Drosophila melanogaster: one gene and its partner. The protein of the gene in region 2 interacts with the protein of the main gene of each other region in a pairwise test. Each region holds a gene or a part of one and is shown on either strand. Other genes may lie near its edges. The genes, in order: CG14053 and ND-20.

Evidence for each region.
Region 1: the proteins of ND-20 (region 2) and CG14053 interact in a two-hybrid assay, tested with the Drosophila melanogaster proteins (one large-scale study listed by BioGRID).

The regions. Positions count from the first base shown.
Region 1 is NC_004354.4:2,191,023-2,195,922, forward strand, and holds CG14053 (uncharacterized protein), read right to left. Parts: upstream 2,888-4,900; 5' UTR 2,456-2,887; intron 2,038-2,455; exon of another isoform or gene 1,951-2,037; 5' UTR 1,949-1,950; coding exon 1,256-1,948; 3' UTR 617-1,255; downstream 1-616.
Region 2 is NC_004354.4:15,984,854-15,988,613, reverse strand, and holds ND-20 (NADH dehydrogenase (ubiquinone) 20 kDa subunit), read left to right. Parts: upstream 1-1,805; 5' UTR 1,806-1,876; exon of another isoform or gene 1,877-1,930; 5' UTR 1,931-1,937; coding exon 1,938-2,603; 3' UTR 2,604-3,141; downstream 3,142-3,760. Other genes in the region: eIF5 (eukaryotic translation initiation factor 5), read left to right, coding at 70-546, 625-1,329; Slc25A46a (solute carrier family 25 member 46a), read right to left, coding at 3,249-3,760.

The DNA of each region.
Region 1 (4,900 bases), about 14 Mb from region 2:
CGTCGGCTGCAATTAAATCAATAGTTGGTACTAGGCAAGAGGCCAGACCGTAATTTGCCTACGAAGGCTATACAAATGCACGGAGATGGCTATCAGTTGGATGAGACCCACCTGCTAGTTAGGTAATTCAATTTAATTCAGATTTTCCGCCATAAAAACTCAGTATTTTGTTCAAAACAAACGAAATTATGGACCGAACACGGAATGCCATACCTCTGTGAAGTCGTAATTAAATTTCCAATCGATTAGCATTTAAATTTTCGATTTTTAATTTTTGAACATTTTTCGCAAATTTTAATGATGTTACCCCTTCTAAAAAAATCCGAAAATTGGCAAAAAAATTTTTTTTCCCAAAACCATTTAAAAAGTGATAAGGATCGTTGGCTTTGGCCATTAGCTTCACAAAACAGTAATTATAATTGATTTTTGGCCGTTTTTGGCCGAGTTATGCCAGAATTCCCTTAAAGCACTAGACATTCTTGGACAGGTTTTCTTTCCCAATTTTTCGACAAAAAAAAAACATTTTTGCCATACAAATAAAACTAATTGAATGAATTCGTATCCAAATTTTCAAACTATTGGATTTTATGTAATTGTTAAATATCTAAAAAGAGATCGTTTCGAGTCATACATAAAAGAGCTTTTTTGGTTAGTTAAGAACTAAATGCCTTTCACGACGACCCCAGCAATTGCCAGGTGTGATCAGATAGTAGCAGTGCCCAGAGAGATGACGCTAGTCGGGATCGAGTTCCGTTTCGCCTGGGGAGGAGGCGAGTGAATGCACCTATTAGGCGACAATGGGCGAAAGGTGCTTGGTTCCGATAAGGCGATTCGGGATCATTGTCCCACGGATGCGCGGATTAGGTGGTGTAGCATAACCAGCGCCATGGAATATTTTAGGCAGGGCACAAGGGAGAGCGAGAAATTTCGATTTGAACTGGAGACTCAGCTTGGCGTTTATTTGGCTATGGATCGGTGAGCTATTGACCGAGATTCGTGTTGATTCCGACGCTTATCGCTGGGCCGGATAGTTGTTGTTGTCCCGGGTACACAACAACAGAAATCCGTATTTTCGGGCAGTCCGTGTTACTCGTAATCTCTAACGCCGCCGGCAACGAGAACAACAGCAAACAGTGGTCGTCGACGGCGAAGGAATCGACTGGAACAGCAACTGGTGCCATAGGCGTAAAAATAGCGGGATGGGTTTATAAATAACCAAGCTGAAACTAACAAAGTCCGACAGCCAGGAGCGGACTTAGTTCAAGCGGGCTCGCAGGCTAGCCAATTTAGCTTCAACACTTCGCCAAATGCTCTCGGGCAGCGAAGCACGCGTCTCCCTGATCGATGTAGTCCGAGGCGGTGGCATATTCACAGAAGATGACTGCCATACGCGGTTCTTGAAGGCCTCAAAGCCGATCGTCCACAGAACATAAAGGGCGTTCACCACGGACAGTGCCACGACCGCCTTTAGCAACATGCCAAAAAACGAAAAGCGACTTGGTTGATGCTCGGAGTTCCCACGTGGTTCCGGTTCAGTTTCGCTTTCTACAAATATTGTAATTGATACTTCATCATCAGATGCGGCATGACATGGGCATGCTGTCGCATCTTCAGGTATTGATATTTTCAGATCTGTTGGTTCCACCGCCAGTGCGTTGTCTGCATACTCCTGCGAAACTTCTGGCTGCGACACATCTGTCTGACTACCGAGCGTTACAAGAAGCTTTCCGCTGTAAACACTGCAGTCCAGTTCGACGTCATTTGTCTCCAGCAAATCGAAGTAGAAACTGGGGGGCGGTGTCTCGTCCTCCAGCTGGGCCACATCCAAAGACGCTATCCAATGGAACACCTGAAGGGGATCTCTCACGGTGCGCGATGACTGATGGACAGTCTCCCTTTCCCTCTCCACTCCGCATTCGTATAGGTCGTCCGATTGGGAGATGTCCATTACTAGAAAATATATACTTTTTTTAGTTTTTTTTTTTTAGTTTTACGGATAGAAGGAAATATATTCCGGGCTTCCGTAGTGTGTGAAATATGCTTGCTTGAATGAACATGGAGCTTGAGGCGCCTGACACTTGGCAACCGGGTATATATGTACATAGGTTCCTGTTCCAGTTCCTGCTGCGGCGCCAATTCGCTCCTTGCGGCAAGTCAAGCCTGCAGCAGCGCTCCATTTCATCCGGCCTGGACTCCACTATCTTATCAACTAGAAATGGGGCGTGGCATGACCACCCTCGGACGAACTATGCGGAATTGATTCCCACCACCATTCCCGTTCCCGGTCCCCCTCCCGCAATCACCCCTCCCAGCGAGGGCGTTATCAATGGCCTGGCATAATCGGCTATCAATATTGTCGCATTACGACAACCATAAACGCGGAGCGGGAAAGGGTTTGGGAGGGCAGGAGCCGACGGGCGTGTATATAGGATCACGGGTTGGTCGACCAACTCACCTGGGATGGCCTACCTGTGACCGAAGGCCCAGTCTAGTCAGCCTGGTCAGCCTGGTCTTGGGTCTGGTGTGTATTTTTAGCATTAGAAATCACTATTTGTACAGCAAATTATGCGATCAGTGCGAAGCGCGGTCAAGTCTGACTTCCCATGCTCGCTGACTGCGTGACTCCTCACGAGGCCGAGCTGTATGTACCGTTCCACCAAGCCCGTGTAGAGCATCAGACATTCGCTGTGGCCCGCGGGGAACTCGCCGTCTCATCGCCGACCTTGATAATGCACTTCTTTTGGCTGCAGCTTGGATGGCACGCGAGCCTAATCGATTTGTAATTTGAGCTGCAGTAAGGCTGCATGGGCAAAGTTCGATTGCGATTGCAGGGGAAATACAAAAATGATGGGCTGACTGGATGAATATTGCAGAATTTGAATAGGTAAAAACAAAAAAAATGTTTTGAAAACATAAAAAGTAATAGGGTTTGCCATACTGTGCTGCAATCTTCTGCAGCGGATAAAATTCGAAATGCAGGCGATGGAAATAACTGTTTATCCGTGTGCACTGTAAAATAAATTCATTTCTAAGCAAAAAGGAAATAAGAAGTGGGGTTCGACTTGGAATAGAGTATAATAGTGCTCAGTGTGGGTCTAAACAGGCTGTATTCGCTTTTTATGGCCGTTGTGATTTCGATTTACGCACAGTTCAACTCGAGCAAATTTGTTAATTAATATTTAACACTAAGCCAGAAAGGCGTAAGCAATCGAGACCACCCCCGAGGCCCCCCGCTGCCGCCCGAAAGTGCCGTGTTATTTGCATGCAGACAACACAATTGGAAGCACGAAACATGTACGAAATATTATAAACTGATAAGGTGCCTATAATTCACAGCAGATTGGGTCCGATCACTTGGCGGCGCTCTCCCTCTCCCGCTCCCACTCCTGCCCAGAGTTCTCCATGCGCGCTCTTTGGGGCTGACCACTGATAAGGAGCGAGGGAGCAGTGCGAGAGGCCTGGAGAGGAGAGTGCTTCGCTGTTTGCTTGTCTTTGCTGCCGTTCCTTCTTCGGCTGCTCGGCGCTCGGCGTTCTGCTCTTACACGGCTCGCATTTAATTTAATTCGTCGCCTGCCCTGCTGACAGCGACATCGGTTGCGTCTCGCCAAAAAGTAATACTCGCTCCCGCGATTTGGAAGCCAGTGAAGCCATCGGGAAAGGGAAAGCAAAGCCGGGAGTCAGTGTTAGAAGCACCATTATTGCCGTTCAGTGTGACCGAGTGTGCATTCACCGCAAGGACATATCGAGTGTGGCCAGTTGCTAAGGACGCTGTACGTCAAGCACCGCAGTCAAAGTGCGACGCGATCGAAATCGCATTCATTCAGTTTTATTGAACACTCGACGCCCCGTTCAATCCGTAATCTCGACGATTGGACAACTGCAATTGTAACGCGAAGAACACAAACTGTCAACAAAGTCGTAAATTCGCACACTGCGGCAGTAAAGTGAAGCAATCGAAGGGAAAAAAGCCAAAGAGTGCAGGCAGCAACAAGTTAATTACCAAATAACAGGCGAAAGGTAAGTCGCCTGGATCAGATAAGGTGATTGTAACTATCGCTGGGCTAGCGACCAGACTCTTAAATATGTGTGATCTTGTACATCCGATCGGATCACCGATCTCCGATAATCACACCGATCCAATCCTCCAGAAGCGAAGCGCCATCGCCTGGAGTCGGAAAGCCATTCAAATGCCGAGAATGCATGCATTTCGTCGAAACTATTTTTAAACAGATCGTTTCTATACTTTCGGCTTTTTCGGATTTCTCTTTCTCACTTGGCGCGCCTGCAGACCCAGAACGTGGGAGAAAAAGAACAGAAGTGCATTCATTGCTCCCCACCTCCTTTATCGCTCGCCAGGTGGCCGTGATCGATATTGATAGCTCCCTGATATTGATGTTGACTAAATGCGAGACTTGCGTTTACGACTGTGTGGACAAGATCGTTGGGAAAGATTGATCGTGATCCCGGGTGAAGTGGGGATATCAAACAGTGAAACTAAATTCTTCGAATTTAATCTGCTCGTCAAGTTCAAGTTGATACAGCAGTGTATGGCGAGAAGTTAGTTTCCTGCAGAAGTCCACAGGATCAATTTAGAGCACGTTAATAAAATTTTATTAATAATAAAATTAATTGTCATTAATTTCCCAAGCCGTAGAATCCGGTTAGTGGGTCAGTATCTTTCCCTGGCCAGGTTCAATAGCCTGGTTAGCTGGAGGTGATTGATGAGAGGTTGTGGGCATGAGATTCCGAATGGGAAGTGAGCACAAAGTAAGCCCAAGGCCGCAATAATTACAAATCCGTGACCGCAAACGCTGAAATTCATTTAGTGCCGAGCAAAGTGAATTAATTTCATAATAAACAAAGTGCGAATGACAGCTCTTCCAGCTGAGATGCAGTTGAA
Region 2 (3,760 bases):
TGTGCACGGATAGATATCCTATGTTACCCATGAGCTATGCTCCCATTAATCACTATTAATTTCATTCAGAATGAGCGCTTTGTTGTGAATGGATCGCATGATGTGAACAAGTTGCAGGATTTGTTGGATGGTTTTATTCGCAAGTTTGTGTTATGCCCCGAGTGCGACAATCCGGAGACCAATTTAACTGTGTCGGCCAAAAACCAGACCATTTCGCAGTCTTGCAAGGCATGCGGCTTCCATGGTCTGCTCAAGGTTAACCATAAAGTGAACACATTCATTGTGAAGAACCCCCCGTCATTGAATCCGGCCGCCCAAGGATCATCGCTAACCGAGGGCAAACGCTCGAGGAAACAGAAGCAGAAGAACGATAACGCCGATGGCTCCATGACCAATAACTCTTTGGCCAACAACTCTGGCGGTGAATCAGATGGCGGCAACGGCACAAATCAGGCTAGCCAAACTGAGGCCGAGATTAGCGCAGCTATTCCGGAGAAAACAGCCAAGGATGACGACGATGAGGGATGGAGTGTCGATGTTTCGAAGGTACGTTGTTTAATCCGTATATACTCGCAATTAGCTTAAAGAGCTATTCATATGTATATTACTACTCCACCCCGGTAGGAGGCTATTCGTGCTCGTTTGCAAGATCTGACTGATGGTGCTAAGGGTATGACTATTTCGGATGACTATGATAAAACTGAAAAGGAGCGCATTGATATTTTCTACGAGTTGGTTAAGGACAAGCGGGACAAGAAGCAATTGGATGATGTGCAAACTCACAAGGAGCTGGTGATTGAAGCCGAACGCTTGGATATTATTAACAAGGCTCCATTGGTTCTCGCCGAGCTGCTTTTCACTGAAAACATCATCAAGGACGTGCAGAAGAATCGCCCTTTGCTTCTTCGCTTCACCCTCAATAATCCAAAAGCACAGCGCTATCTAATTGGTGGAGTGGAGCAAACTGTAGAGCTGCATAAGGGTATATTGATGAGCAAGGTTGCTGGAATCTTCAAATTGTTTTATGATCTGGACATACTCGATGAGGCCGTCATACTGGAGTGGGCACAGAAGGTTAGCAAACGACATGTCTCGAAAAATATTGCTGCCGAAATACACGAGAAAGCTATGCCATTCGTTCTCTGGCTGAAGAATGCCGAGGAAGAGTCCTCCGAAAGTGAGGAGGAGGAGGACGATGAATCCGAGGAGGATAACTACGTTTCCAGTGCCGGCCAACGTGGCGGTCAACGGGTCGTCCAACGCGGAATTCCACGCGCTGTTGCAGGCGACGAGGATGACGAGGACGACGTGAACATCGACGATATCTAAAAGGAATCAAAAAGAGAACAGCTACCCTAATCCAACCAGTAATATTTTAAAAGGGGGAAAATCAAGCGAGCAAGCATAATCTACAATTCAAACTGAAATATAAATTAGCGAGTTAAATCAACATGTGGTTTTTTTTATCTTTAGTTCTTAAGAGTGCTAATCGTATTTTGAGTCGTCGCTTTACTACCATTCAATTGTTTGCATAACATTTCCCAAGCCGCTGTAACAATAGAATTACACCAACATATTACAAAATAAAGCAAACAAAAACATTAATAACTACTTTTTTACTTGCCTTTTGGTCAGCTTAAGCTATGACCTTCAAGCAAGTTGATTTTTTTAGCCAACCATTGCGTTCATGTGGGAAAAGGGCATAAAGTTCATGCTGCCGCAAGTGATGTGCTTGTGTGAGAATAGGATATCTAAAGTAAATTCGTATTTTATAGTATATTTTCCTGGTGCATTTGGTATTTTAGTTAGTAGTTCGGCGGCGGTCACATCATACGCATCCCCTATAAATCGAAATAAGTTGAAGTTACATAAATAGGTATTAAATGTTTAAATGCCCAGTCCTAGTATAACTACAGATTTACTTTAGCAGGATCAACATGCTGCGTTCGGCGATGATGTCATCGACCCTGTCCCGGGCTCTCCAAAAGGCGACTCAGACACCGAATGCGTCGATTTCGGCGCTGCCCGCTCTGAATTTGGCCCTGGTGCGCCAACAACAAACGCTTCCAGTTGCCGAAGTGGCCCAAAATCTGCCCAAGAAGGGCTACTCTCCGTTCGGCACCAAACAGTCCTCCGTTGCGGAGTGGTCACTGGCCAGACTGGACGATCTGCTCAACTGGGGTCGCAAGGGCTCGATCTGGCCACTGACTTTCGGTTTGGCCTGCTGTGCCGTCGAAATGATGCACATCGCTGCTCCGCGTTACGACATGGATCGATATGGTGTTGTGTTCCGTGCATCTCCACGTCAGGCCGATGTCATCATCGTCGCTGGCACGCTGACCAACAAAATGGCACCGGCCCTGCGAAAGGTCTACGACCAAATGCCCGAGCCACGTTGGGTCATCTCCATGGGCAGCTGTGCCAACGGCGGCGGCTACTACCATTACTCGTACTCCGTCGTCCGTGGCTGCGATAGGATAATCCCCGTCGACATATACGTACCCGGTTGTCCGCCAACCGCCGAGGCGCTCATGTACGGCGTTTTGCAGCTGCAGAAGAAGGTTAAGCGGATGAAGACGCTCCAGATGTGGTATAGGAAGTAAGGCAACGATCGGAACTTATATTTAAAATGTGAAACATCAAACGACATACGATTTTGCGAACAGAAATCATATTAAATATCGTTCTGTTAACGTTCAGTTGTTGTATACATTGTTTGTTGGATCACGAGGATATTGCAAATAAATGCCTTTCGATATAAATACAAACATTCAAGCTGTGCTTCTGTATCCAAACGTCAGCTTGAATCGTACGTGTGTTTGCCAACGGTCGTAATGAAAATCGTGAATTCGAAAAAAGTTTTGTTTCCCTTCAAAATGAGCGTGAAGTTAACGGCTCCTTCCTCTTTTTTTTATCGTGAATTGTATACACAACCATATCATTTAGTTGTCATAGAAACGATCGCACCAACCACAGGACAATCTGCTGTTTTTACTTAATTTTTCTGTATTCATTTCAAGGTCCTGACGTTTTCGGGACACAAAGTGCAAGAATATAAGCTCAGTTTAAAGTGTTTAAAATAGTTATATTTTTTAATTGGCAGATTTTTTTTTAACGCAACTGCAGAGTAAGCAAACCCTTAAAATACAATTATTCATGCTAACGTCCCAATAAACCCAACGAAAAATACAAAAAGAAATAAATATTTGTATAATTTACATATGCAATATAATTTGACTAGCCATTAACTAGTCTTGTGAATTCTGCCCAAGACTAATCTCCCCCATTTCGGTACTGGAAAGGCTTGGCGACAAGGTCGTGGACCTGGAGTTGCAAGCATTCTCATCCAGATTATAGTAATTCACTATTCGCTGTGGTGGTCGGTTGGAGATGACCTCTACGATTTGATTCACAACCCATTTGGTCAATTTGATGACGGCCACGTGTGCCGCAAACTGCAGGATCATGGCTCCAAAGCCCTTGTAGAGGCCACTAACTCCCTCGGAGACAATCGTTGTCTGATAGCAATCGACGACTCCTTGATAGTTTGTTAGAATGGGTACGACATCGTAGCCATTGTCGAGGTTGTCGATTATAGTTCGTGTTCCCTGCAATTGCAGACGGTGTAGAATCGTTTCGAACGGGAAGAACATGACCTCAGTGGTTATGATAGCAATAAGGCTGGCATAGATGTCCGCATTCTGTTGTTCCAGCGTGGTGTCCTGATACTTTCCACCCTGGCCGTCCTGGGAATTCTTTA